Linked DNA regions of Oryctolagus cuniculus. The protein of the gene in region 2 interacts with the protein of the main gene of each other region in a pairwise test. Links are inferred from orthologs where the notes say so. Each region holds a gene or a part of one and is shown on either strand. Other genes may lie near its edges.

Region 1 (4,060 bases), on a different chromosome or scaffold from region 2:
TTTGTGGATGAGCCCAGTTCCTTAAAAATAACAAAGGCCTGCCCTCTCATCTTCATGGTCTTTAAAGCCACAATATCTACCACATGGCCAAACTGAGAAAATAGGGCATACAGGGATCTCTTCAATTCTGTCCAAATAAGAGGGGAAATAACTTGTGAACGAAGGAATGAGAAAATTCTTCATTAAATGACAGTACATTGAGTGCTCTGTCACCATTTATTTATACAGTTAGTAGTTATATATGTAAGTAAAAACACAAATTGCTATTCCCATTGGTTATCTAACGTAAAAAGTTATTTGAAACCATTATATGAGTAGCTATGAGTAAGAACAGATTCAGCATGTTGTCAGTCACTACCTATTTTTGTTTTTAAAAAGCCTGGAAATCCTTACACAAACTTTATAAATTTATTACTGGAGGCCGGCACCGCGGCTCACTAGGCTAATCCTCCGCCTTGGGGCGCCGGCACACCGGGTTCTAGTCCCAGTCAGGGAGCCAGATTCTGTCCCGGTTGCCCCTCTTCCAGGCCAGCCCTCTGCTGTGGCCAGGGAGTGCAGTAGAGGATGGCCCAGGTGCTTGGGCCCTGCACCCCATGGGAGACCAGGAAAAGCACCTGGCTCCTGGCTCCTGCCATTGGATCAGCGTGATGCGCCGGCCGCGGCGGCCATTGGAGGGTGAACCAACGGCAAAAGGAAGACCTTTCTCTCTGTCTCTCTCTCTCTCACTGTCCACTATGCCTGTCAAAAAAAAAAAAAAAAAAAAATTTATTACTGGAGGTAAGAAAAATGAGTTTGGGTGTAGTACAATTTTGTAAGATGGTAGTAAACAAACACATTTTAGTTATCAATAAGTATTTTTAAAAACACTTACCTTCTTTTTTAATTTTGTCATTCATATTATTAATATAAATTGTATGATTTGGTCTGATATCCATGTCTGAGTTAAAATGTTCAAATAGCCTAAAGAGAGGATAAAAAAAAAAAAAAAAAACTGTTACAAACAGGTGTGATTAAATCAATACAGCAGAAAGCTGTTGGCTTTTCCGTTTTCTTTCAATCGCTATGTCAGAATGTCAGTTGGGTCATAGACTCTCTCTCCAGCAATAGCTAGTCCTCCTCTGTATTTCTGTTTGAGAGGCAAACGCACACACAGCCAGAGGCAGACAATGAGCTCCAAAGCTCTGCTTCACGTCCCAAATGCCCAGCTGTGGCCCAGCTCGACTGAGGTCAAGTGAAGCTAGAGGCTCCTCAATCCAGGTGTCCCACGTGTGTGCAAGAACCCAATCACTTGAGCCACCACTGCTGTCTCTCAGGTCTGCATTAGCGGAAGCCGGAGTCAGGAGCGAGAGCCGGAACTCAAGCCCAGGCACTCTGACATGGGGCAGACATCTTAACTGCTACATCAGATGCAAACCGCAAGCCCTCATTTTTACAATTCTCAAGCTCAAAATTTAGTGAAACAACAGCAGCTTGCCAGAGTTTAATAAAATTGTATTCAATACATTTTTATACTTTCCTTTCACTTGTGCTACTTCCCATCTGCCTAATGAAGTAACTTGTATTTGTAAGCTGGTTTAAAAATTTTGACATAAAGAAAAATGAAAAAGAAACTACCAAGTGTACAATCCAGAACAAATCGTTAAGACAGAACATCAATGTAGTTTGTTCCTGGGTGCACTTACAAAGCACTTCCATATCTATCAATCACTGTGCATAAATTTCCACCTGCCATCTTCACTCCAGGATGACCTCTAACAGACTTGGCAAAGACCTTAATCTCTCAGGTCTTCATCTGTCAGACGGGGCTGAGGTGGGGGCGGGGCTGGCCAGAGCCCCCGAAGTTCTAGCACAGCTCTTGCATCAGAAGCCCCCAAAGGAGCTAATATCATGGCTGTTACAAGTCAGGGAGCACGCTTGAGGTCACACAGCTCTTGATCAGAAGGCCTGGGAATTCCGTCCTTGCAACCCACTGGACGATTTCCACACTTCACGTGGTTTTTAAGTTGCCAAGTGTGACCTTGCTTTACTTCCCTGGATGGCCCACAGATAATTAGGTACTAAACACTGCTTGCTGTGTTTACACACAGCGAGGGAGGAGCCTATAGACCGATGTACTTGTGCAGGTGGCAGATGAATAGAAACGTTTCTTAAAGACTCGACATTTCCCCAGTCGAAACCTGGAAGAGGAGCAGGGGGTCGCCAAGTTTTGACCATGAGAAGGGAGCGAGAGAGATTAAAGTGAAGGCGAGGAGAACAAGAGACCAAGAAGCTCGGTGCTGGGCTAATCAGAGCAGGGCACCTGGTGTCGCACCTCTCCCCTCCGCCAAAACAGAAACAACAGATCCGCAGGAAACCACCTGGAATCTCCCACGCCTCGCATTAACGGGCGTACTCTGTACGCGCCAGCTTCCTGCCTCTCCAGACACAGACTCTCTGCCCCGGGGCCACGCCGCGATCCAAGGACCGCGCCAGTCCCGCCAGAGACGCGCGCCGCTGCTAAGCTCCCCTGCATGGCCGCTCCCTCGTCTCAAACCGACCCCTCCACAAAACCAAGGCGAGACGCCACCCGACCACACCTCGCGCCTCGTACTGTTCGGGCTGAGCAGCGTGAAGAACCGCAAAACCGAGGAAAACGGGAATCCGACTCACCAGAGGACTACGCCGTTCCCACGAGCAACCGGAAGCCGGAAACGGTGCCGAAGGCGGAAGTGACAATGAAACTCCTCAATCGAGCGCCGACAAGTCGAGAAGCCCAGCGCCGAGTCGATCGATGCCTCCCGGTCTCCCGCGGCCCCAAGCTGGGGAACTCTCTGCGCATGCGCCTACGTGCTCTGCTGAAAGAGGGCCCGGGAAAACGGAAGAGGGTTGAGAGAACTGGATAGAACCCTGGGGCCATGCTGTGAGGTAATAAAAAAGAGTGGTTCATTTACCCCCACTAAGACTGAGGGAGGTTTTAACTCACATAGCAGTTCCCTCTACCTTTCTGAATCCTATGTGAGGTTTGCGGGCGCAGCCCCTCCTGCTGGTTTCACCCCTTCTATGGGTCAGCCTCACCTTTAGGACAGCCTATACTGCTGCCAGGGGTTCTGAGGTAGCTCCTCAACACTCTGCTGATGAGCTTAACTCTGAGAGGCAGAGCTGGAGTCGGAGGCCCTGGAGCAGAGACTGAGTGGGGTGTGCCTTTAACATCTACCTAAACTCACTCAAAACACCACAAAACACTTGAGTTCCCGACACCCTTCTCACTGCACTCCCCGCAGATGCTTAGATTTTTCTGGAGATAACTTAAGGTGTTAGTGAATGGAAATTCAAAACCGTGCATTTGGTCATTCGTTCATCCGTCATCTGAGACGTGCTAAGAGCCACCTGGAATAGGAAGGCTTTAGGAGTCAAAGCAAAGGGCCCCATGGCTTGGGACGTTGCGTGGGGCTCCAGCGTCCCGTATTTGTGTCCAGGCTGCTCTGCTCCTGATCCGGCTTCCTGCGGATGCATCCTGTCCTGGGAGGCAGCAGCTGAGGGCTCAGGTACTTGGGGCTCTGCAAGCCACCTGGGAGACCAGAATGGAGTTCCAGACTCCTAGCTTCAGCCTGGCCCAGCCCCCGGCCTTGTGGCCAGTTGGTGAGTGAATCAGTGGATGAAAGAGCTCTGTCTCTCTCTGCTTTGCAAATAAATAAGTCAAAAAAATTTTTTTAAAGAAGCCAAAGTAAATCTAACCTTGTGTCTTCCTCTTAACTAAATCTCTCTTTCTCTTTCCTTGCCTATGTAACAGGAATCTTAATAGTACCTTCTTATCACTCTGGGGACTAAATGGGTGCTCTGTAAAATGATTAGAACATTACACAAAGTCACTGGTTCCTAAATGTTACCTCTAGACTCTAACTATGACTTGGAGGTATGGATGAAGGTGGTAGGGGCCAAATAGTTTGATTTTATCACCTGAGGAGTTTTATTTTAAGAGTCAACATAAAGTTGCAACAACTTAAAAATAATGTAAGTACTTTGAAGGTGGGGATTTTTGTCTGTTTTGTTCATTTAAAAACCTTCAGTAATTAAAAGAGTC
Region 2 (3,926 bases):
GTTCAAATGTAGAACATTTAAAATCTGGGTGAACAAGAACTATTTTGACAAGGACTGGAAGGGGAGTGGGGGGATGGGTGGGTCACTGTCACCGGGTCCTAGCCATCTCCCCAGGTGGTTTCTCTGCGCGACCTCTGATCAGCACAGCTCCGGAACTGCAGTCCTTTTCCAGCGCCCCAGCTGGAGTCTCAGAACACTCTGTTCCACAGATCCGGCTCTTTAAAGATGAGCACTAAGAGATTTGCACTGTGAGGCTGAGCAGTATTACCTAAACAATGCACGTTTCTTTCCATTAATATAAACATGGAATGATTTACAGTCAACACACACTAGCCTCGACGCTGATAACAATGTGATGGTTCACGGTTCCTGCGAGCCAGGCCCTGGGCTAAACATCTGCACGTGCGACTTCACATTTATCTCCATGGGAAGAGTCACGGGTTCACACTTGTCACAGCCGAGGGTGCCGGCATGTCGACAGCGGGCGCCGCAGCCAGCAAGCCCATCGGCATTGTAGCAGCTCCCCATGCTCTGTGCAGTGTCGGCGGAGTTACAGGAACGGGCAGGCCAGAACCCCCTCCCTCCAAGAAAAACACAACGAAAACAGCAGGCAGCTAGGCCTTTACTACTCGGGACCAGGACAGCAGCTGCGGGCCGGGTCTGCACGGCAGCCCTCTTTCCTGGGGCTCAGAAGTGCCCCTCCAGGCCCAACTGCAGGAGCGCGGCCTCAGCCTCCTCCTCCTCCTCCTTGGCCTCCTCCTCACGGATCTGCACCAGCAGCTGGAAGAGGTTCGGGGCCGGCCCTTCCGCAGCGCCGGTCAGCCAGAGCTGCCTTCGGAGGGTCCCGCTGTGGTTGGCCCCGGCGATGACCTGCTCCAGGCGGGCCTGGTTCACGTTCTCTTTATCAATGGCCCCCTTCTCCACCACCTTCTGCAGCAGCGGCTCCAGACGAATGACGTAAGCCGACAACTTCTCTCCCGGGTTCTGGTACGTGTTCAGAAACCTGACCTGCGCATCCCTAGAGCTCTCCACGCTCCCGAACACCTGCTCCAGCGCCTTCAGGCACTCGCCGGTGGTGATCGCGGGGTTGCTGGTCTTGAGGATGCGGATGACGTCGGCGGCGGGGCCCCGGAGGCTCTCCATCAGCCGCCGCCTCTTTTCTGTGTCGGACACCTGCCACTCCTCTATGACTTCATTAGCGTGCTCCAGCCAGCAGTCAAAGCTCTCCTCCCCAGGCCCCGGGATGTCCCTCCCCGAGAACAGCGTCAGCTTCTTGTACCATATGGACTCCACGAGAGGCTGAATAACATTATCCAAAATATAGCTGAGCATCTCGGCTGGCATTTCGGGGCCCGGGGCCGGGGCCGGGTTCTGAAACCCAAGGACGCGGGCAACATCTTGCACGGTCCACCCCTCCCGAGCTAGGAAGAGGTGCAGCCTTTCTAAAAATTCAGCGTCAGACGTGGGGGGCTTAAAAAGCACTTTCCACACCCCTCCTTTGCCAGGCATCTCCCTGGGGATCGCGGCGTAATCCACAGCGCCAGTGAGCTCTAATAAGGCTGCTTTCGCGTTCTCTTCCCTCCAGAACATTCTCCCAAGCACTCGATACGGCACCTGGGGCATCGCAGCCTGGAGGGTCTCTTCGATTTCAGCCTCATCACAGTTCACTAGGATCCCCCAAACCAGCAGCGCTCTCTGGGAGTTCACGTCCATGCCCCTGCACCAATCTTCCAACAGCGTCATCGCCATGTTCCCAACTATCAAAGGTACCGATTCGACAGATACGGATCAGACTGCGGCTCCCCGAACTCCAACCAACACCAGACACTCCCCGCAAGCAGGCGCGCGGGCGGCAGGTCCCCGCGGTCGCTGGTAACAAGCGACACCCAAGCCCCGCTGTCCGTCTGCGGCTCCCCGGCGCGGCCTCGCAGGGGCTCAGTCAGTCACGCGGCTGTCGCCATCTCGCGTCCCGGGTCGGGGTCTGCGGCCCCAGAGTGCAGCCTGCGGGAGCCGCGGGGCCCGGGAGCGCCGGGGTGTGGCCGCGGGGCGTGGCCGCCGCTCCCGGAGTCGCCCCGGCGCTGGCGGTCCGAGCCCGGCCCTCAGCGGGGCGAGGAGCGGCAGCCCGAAGGAGCGCTCGGCGTGCCGGGCCCGGCGGGAGAGGCTGTCCGAGGTCACCGCGGCGGCAGCCGGGCCAGCCGGCGAGCAGCGGCTTCTTCTCGGGCGCGGGGACCCCTCCGGACAGCGAGGACCGCTGAAAACCGAGGGCTGAGGGGAGCAAAGACGCAGGAAGGATGCAGAAGCGAGGCGGGAGGCGAAGGCTGGTGGGGCCGGCCGGGCTCGCGTGGCGCGACGGGCTGCGGCGGCTGTGGCGCAGCTCGGCAGCCGGCGCGTTCCCGCCGCAGTGCAGGGCGGGGCCGGCCCGCGAGCCGCGGCCGCCGCACCGGATCCAGGTCGCCGGCGAGGCGCGCGCGCGTGACCATGGCAACGGTGTCCCGGACGACGCGCTCCCGAAGACTCCGTGCGCAGCGGCGCGGGGTGGGGGGAGCGGTTGCCATGGTACCGCAGCCATCAGATGTTCCAGACTTTTACAATGAAAAAAAAAATACCAATAAGCATCGAGGGCTTCTGTCTTCTAATCCGGAGCGGATTTCAGATACTAGTGGGTATCACCCGTGGTGGCTGACTTGCTCATGCAACTGGCGCATCAAGCCAGGTGCGTGGACGGCATCTCATCCAGAGGAAACGAAGGCTCCCAAGTATCCCACTTGTGTGACACACAGACTGGACACTTCCTCTTATCTTTTTTTTTTTTCTAATTTTTTTTTTTTTTTGACAGGCAGAGTGGACAGTGAGAGAGAGAGACAGAGAGAAAGGTCTTCCTTTGCCGTTGGTTCACCCTCCAATGGCCGGTGCGCTGCGGCCGGCGCACCGCGCTGATCCGATGGCAGGAGCCAGGAGCCAGGTGCTTTTCCTGGTCTCCCATGGGGTGCAGGGCCCAAGCACCTGGGCCATCCTCCACTGCACTCCCTGGCCACAGCAGAGAGCTGGCCTGGAAGAGGGGCAACCGGGACAGAATCCGGCGCCCCAACCGGGACTAGAACCCGGTGTGCCGGCGCCGCTAGGCGGAGGATTAGCCTAGTGAGCCGCGGCGCCGGCCACTTCCTCTTATCTAACACTTAGTCAAAAGGCCGGCCACCTACCTACCTACAGCTGGCAACGCACCAGTATTCTGTAATCCCTGCCTCGGGTACTCTTCAAGCCAGAGCAAGGGCCGCTTCGGTCAATCTCAGAGGATGAAAATCCCCCAAAAGAACACAGCATCCAACTCTGAATTTTTAAAACCTTATTTAATGAAAGGTTTAAAGATACAGAAGAACATTCAAAAGTAAATAAGTTACATAGGTACATTACAATCACATCAGCAAGATTCTCTTTAGTGTATTAATTTTTATATAAAAAGCACACAAAAAATAAAATCTTCCATCTGCTCTATCACAACTGTACAGCCAAAGAGGTAATATTTATATATTTATATATATGTACACCATTTTCATATGTAACAGTCTTTTTTAAAAAAGGTTGCCACAGGCAGCAAACACACAAAAGGCAGTGTCTGATCATCTGTTTCAAAATAAAAGGAATATACTTCTTTATATGCTATTAAAATATTTGTACAATAATTACAGACTGTCAAGGCTGTCCCCTCCTACAAGGCCTTCAACTTGGAGACAAATGAGTAAAAGGTGAAACAGAAACAGCTGCAAATCGTTAGAGGCAAACAGTAACACAGCAAAATGGGGGGGGGAGGACACTTGTTTTATAAAAATATGCACACTTCCTGTAAACCTAAAGGAGTCAGGCTTGCCAGTCTAGTAATAAATACTGTCCAGAAAAGCGGGCCCCCGTGGAGAGGGTGCTAAACAGCC
Region 3 (3,991 bases), on a different chromosome or scaffold from region 2:
GAGAAGGGCAGCGAGACGACGCGGGCGCCCTCGTGCGGGCACTCGCCGCCGTCCGCCGCGGCGCCGTCGAGGAAGTCGGTCTCGGCGAGGCCGCCGGGGTCGTGGCCGCCGGCGCAGCAGCCGGCCGCGTGCCCGGCCCTGGCCGCCGGCCCCCAGGCCAGCTCGGGCGCCGTCTGCAGGAAGCAGAGCTGCAGCTCACAGGCCTCGCAGCGGTCGCCGAAGCGGACCTCGGGGCACTGGCTGAGGTGGTCGCCGTAGCACCGCCTCAGGATGTGCAGCACCAGCTTGCTGAGGAAGATCCACACGTTGAGGGGGCTCACCTGGCAGTCGCCGCGGGGGCCCGGCGGCCCCGGGGGGCACATCCGGCACCGCTGGCCCCACACGCGCATCTTGACCAGCCCCTGGCGGCTGCCCGCGTCCCACCACAGGTGGAAGAGGATGTGCACGTGCGCCGAGCGCCAGACCCACAGGCAGCGGCTGCACTGGAGCCTGCGGGGAGAGAGGGCCGTGAGCCGCGGCCGGGCAGGACGCAGCTCCAGCCCGGGAACAGCCGGGTGCCGGCCGGCGCAGCCGCAGCGCTCGGAGCTGCCTCGCTCTGGGCCAGGCCCTGCAGCTTGAAGACCTGAGACGCAGACACGCGCACAGCAGGGCAGCACCAGGGTGCACCCCGGCCGGAGGCCTGGGAGCCACGCGCCCCCACATTCTGCTGTCTGCAGTGTGGACTCCCTGAGTGCCAGGGCAGGAGGGGGAGCCGACTCAGGGCCTCCCGGCTGGGCCTGGCCAGGTGATGAGAAATTTGGGAAATTTAAGGGGGTGCTGGTGTGAGGGATGCCCCCTGCAGCTAAGTGCAGGCTCGGGGGACCCTGGACAAGCCCCCTGGATTCTGAACAGTGCACCTCATATGTGAGCTGGAGAGTTGGGCACCACACCCCTGGCTGAAAGAAGCGCCCAGCTCCTGGCCCCCAGGATGGACTCTCCTCCAAGGTCCTTGGGTTGGGGTGGGCAGATTAAGCCACTACCTGAGACACCCACATCCCGTATCGGAGCACCTGGAATCTCCGCCTCTGCTTCCGATTCAGCTTCCTGCCAATGGACCTCGGTGACGAAGGTGCTGGCTTCCCTTGCCACCCACGTGGGAGACCCGGATGGAGTTCAGCCTGGCTAGCCCTGGCTGTTGTGGCCGTTCGAAGGCTGAACCATTGGATGGGAGAAGTTCTGTCTCTCCCCACCCCCATCAGTCTGCCCTTCATCTAAATAAAAATGAGTAAACTTTTTAAAAAGACGGGGCGGGGGGGCAGATGAAGGGCCACTCATTGCTGCCCTCAGTGACCCTGTCTTTGCGCTGCCCATGGGACTTTCCAGACGATGGAACTGCTTTAGACCCTGCGCGGCCGAGGAGCCTACAGAGCGCATGGACGTGGAGCTGAACTTCTAACTCTGCTTAAGTCTGATTAGCGATCAGAAGCCACAGGTGCCTGGTGGCCCTGGCTGGAGACATGGGTGTCGTGGTCCCCGTCGTCTGGGTGACCAGAGCCACCTGCATGCGCTACATGGCAGCACTTGGCTGTGGGGCCAGGCAGGGGCTTCTCGGTCTTCTCAGACCCAGCACCTGGAAGAGCCAGGGCTCCACCACACACTGGCCCCCAGATCCGGTGCTCGGGAGCTATGTGGTCAGAGGCAGAGAGCAGGACAACCGGTCAGCATGCCGAGGGGCCGACGGAGCTGCTAGAGCTGCCCCCTGGCTGGCGCCATGAGCCAGGGATGCACGCTGGGGAGGTTCATGGTGGTGATGAAGTATGAGGCTCCCTGGGGACCCTCTGCCACAGCCTCCCCAAGCAGGACTGCCCGGCTGGCTGGTTGCTCAGGCCTGAGCACCGCACCTGCGCATTCCAGGCCCTGCCTGGACACCATGGCAACACCACGGGAACAGCGCAGGCCAGGGGAGCGCCCACCCCCCTGGCAGCCATGATGTCAGCACTGTCGGGTCTCAGCTCTGGCACCGCCCGGCCCCACCCACCTGATGGGGGACAAGTCCAGGCGGGGTGGATGCCCGCTGCCAGCCCCACAGCACCCACTCCAGGGCCACTCGGGCCCGGTCTCAGAGCCTAGAAAGGCGCCTTCAGCCTCCCCTCACCCACAGGGGGCTCCCCCCCGCCTGCCCTTGGCCGCACCTTGAAAGCCCCTTCAGCCGATACTGGAAGCTGCTGCCGTCCAGGGGCCCCGCGGCCAGGCTCTCCTGGGGGAGCAGGACCCAGGCGTCTCGGGGCTTCCTCTCGCTCATCAGCTGGGCGAAGGTGCTCACCCACACGTCCGCCCCAGCCGCGTCCATGCTGCGCGTGTCTGCACTGCGGGCTGACAGCCGCACTCGTTCAGGGGCTCCCAGGAAGCCTCGGTCCCGCGCTGGCCAATCAGCTGCCTTGACAACAGCACGGTCTCCGTGGCAACCGGTTTGTCTCAGAGACATGGAAGCAGAGAGGAAAAATACAATGAAATCGCCTGTGACCCCAGCACCCAGAGGTCACGGTCGCGACGAGCTGGGTGTGCTGATGTCTGTGTGGCTGCCGTGTACATGGGCGTGTATGCTTGCACAGCCACTGTCACAGACCAGAGATCATGTGACACGCATGCATCGCCTGCAGCTGCTCTCTTCCCTGCACGACGCGTGAGCAGTGTCCCGTGAGCGTCTCTCCAAGGGTCTGGTATTTTCCAGCGGACTGCCAACCCTGAACTGGAACAGCATGGCACTAAATTCTAAGACACCGACATAAAAATGCCTAGAACATACATGCCAGCCTCACACCTCCCAGGCAAAGAACCAGCCCGCAGCTGTCCCTGCTGCCGCCAGCCTCAGGCCCCTCCACCACTGCGCTGCCCCCAGCCAGGCCGAGCCCCGCTTGTGGCTGCACGGCCTGAGCCGCAGCCTCAGCAGCCCTGCTCACAGCTTGCGGAAACAGCATGTCTGGCTTCTCCCTCCCTCCCAAGACTCAGGGAACAGCGAGAGAAAGCTAGTGCAGAAAGCAGGCCAGCCTTGGCCGTCCAGGATGGCAGGGCTGCACGCACGGCCAACCCACAGCTGTCAGTGAAGGACTCAAGCCGAGGCGGCCTCTGGTGACCGTGGCTGGGCAGCTTCTCCAGGACGAGGGCCATGTTGAGGCTGGGGTGCAGAGGTGGCCCCAGGAGCCCTGAGCATGGGCACCTGGCTCAGGGCAGCCACCATGGAGAGGAGCTTGTGGGCAGCTGCTCTGGCTGCTGGAGAAGCTCATGCTGACAAGAATAGACACCCCCAAGGGCCATTTCAGGGGACCCCCGGGAGACACCCCACACACATGGAACCAGAGCCTTGTAGCCTCTGTGGGCCCCTGGAAGCTGTCCCTTCCAGTCACTGGGGCGGGCTGCCCTGCTCACGCCTGCCCAGCTCTCTGGGGGCCTGCAGATGATGTCCCAGGTCTCAGGGACATGCCCCTGGACGGGCTCAGTGCCTCTCCCATGCCACACGTGGTCGCTCAGCTCACTTTGCCCTGCTCACAGCTGCACAGCCCACCTGCCCAGCTCTCTGGGCCCAGCTGCAGGTGCAGGGCCTGCAGACGACCGTCCAAGGTCTTGGGGATGTGCCCTTTCCATGCCACACGTGGTCACTCAGCTCACTCCGCCCTGCCCCGTCTGCACCTGGCTGGCTACCCATCTGTCCTCTACTTGTGGGCAGGGTGCTTGGTCCTTCTGGTTTTGTTTTCTTGTTTTTAAATTATTTTTATTTTGTTTATTTGAAAGACGGGCTGGGGGGCAGGGAGAGATCTTCCTCCTGCTGGTTCATTCCCTAGATGGCTGCAATGGCTGGGGTTGGGCCAGACGGAAGCCAGAAGCCTGAAACCCAACCGAGTCTCCCACATGGGTGCAGTGGCCCAAAAATTCAAGCCATCCCCTGCCGCTCTCTCAGGTGCACTAGCAGTGGAGCAGCCAGGACTGGAACCAGCAGTCGGGTGAGGTGACAGCA

The links.
Region 1: the proteins of PNMA1 (region 2) and SNRPB2 interact in binary tests that used the Homo sapiens proteins (3 or more experiments, as listed by UniProt). The two-hybrid records come from large-scale screens. The link is inferred for Oryctolagus cuniculus from reciprocal best matches to the Homo sapiens genes PNMA1 and SNRPB2.
Region 3: the proteins of PNMA1 (region 2) and RTP5 interact in binary tests that used the Homo sapiens proteins (3 or more experiments, as listed by UniProt). The two-hybrid records come from large-scale screens. The link is inferred for Oryctolagus cuniculus from reciprocal best matches to the Homo sapiens genes PNMA1 and RTP5.

The regions. Positions count from the first base shown.
Region 1 is NC_091442.1:41,760,440-41,764,499, reverse strand, and holds the start of SNRPB2 (U2 small nuclear ribonucleoprotein B''), read right to left. Parts: upstream 2,801-4,060; 5' UTR 2,650-2,800; exon of another isoform or gene 2,577-2,649; intron 961-2,576; 5' UTR 936-960; coding exon 872-935; intron 128-871; coding exon 1-127. UniProt on the Homo sapiens protein: Involved in pre-mRNA splicing as component of the spliceosome. Associated with sn-RNP U2, where it contributes to the binding of stem loop IV of U2 snRNA.
Region 2 is NC_091451.1:19,888,785-19,892,710, forward strand, and holds the start of PNMA1 (paraneoplastic antigen Ma1), read right to left. Parts: upstream 2,801-3,926; 5' UTR 1,750-2,800; coding exon 688-1,749; 3' UTR 1-687.
Region 3 is NC_091434.1:56,491-60,481, forward strand, and holds the start of RTP5 (receptor-transporting protein 5), read right to left. Parts: upstream 2,801-3,991; 5' UTR 2,465-2,800; coding exon 2,172-2,464; intron 490-2,171; coding exon 1-489.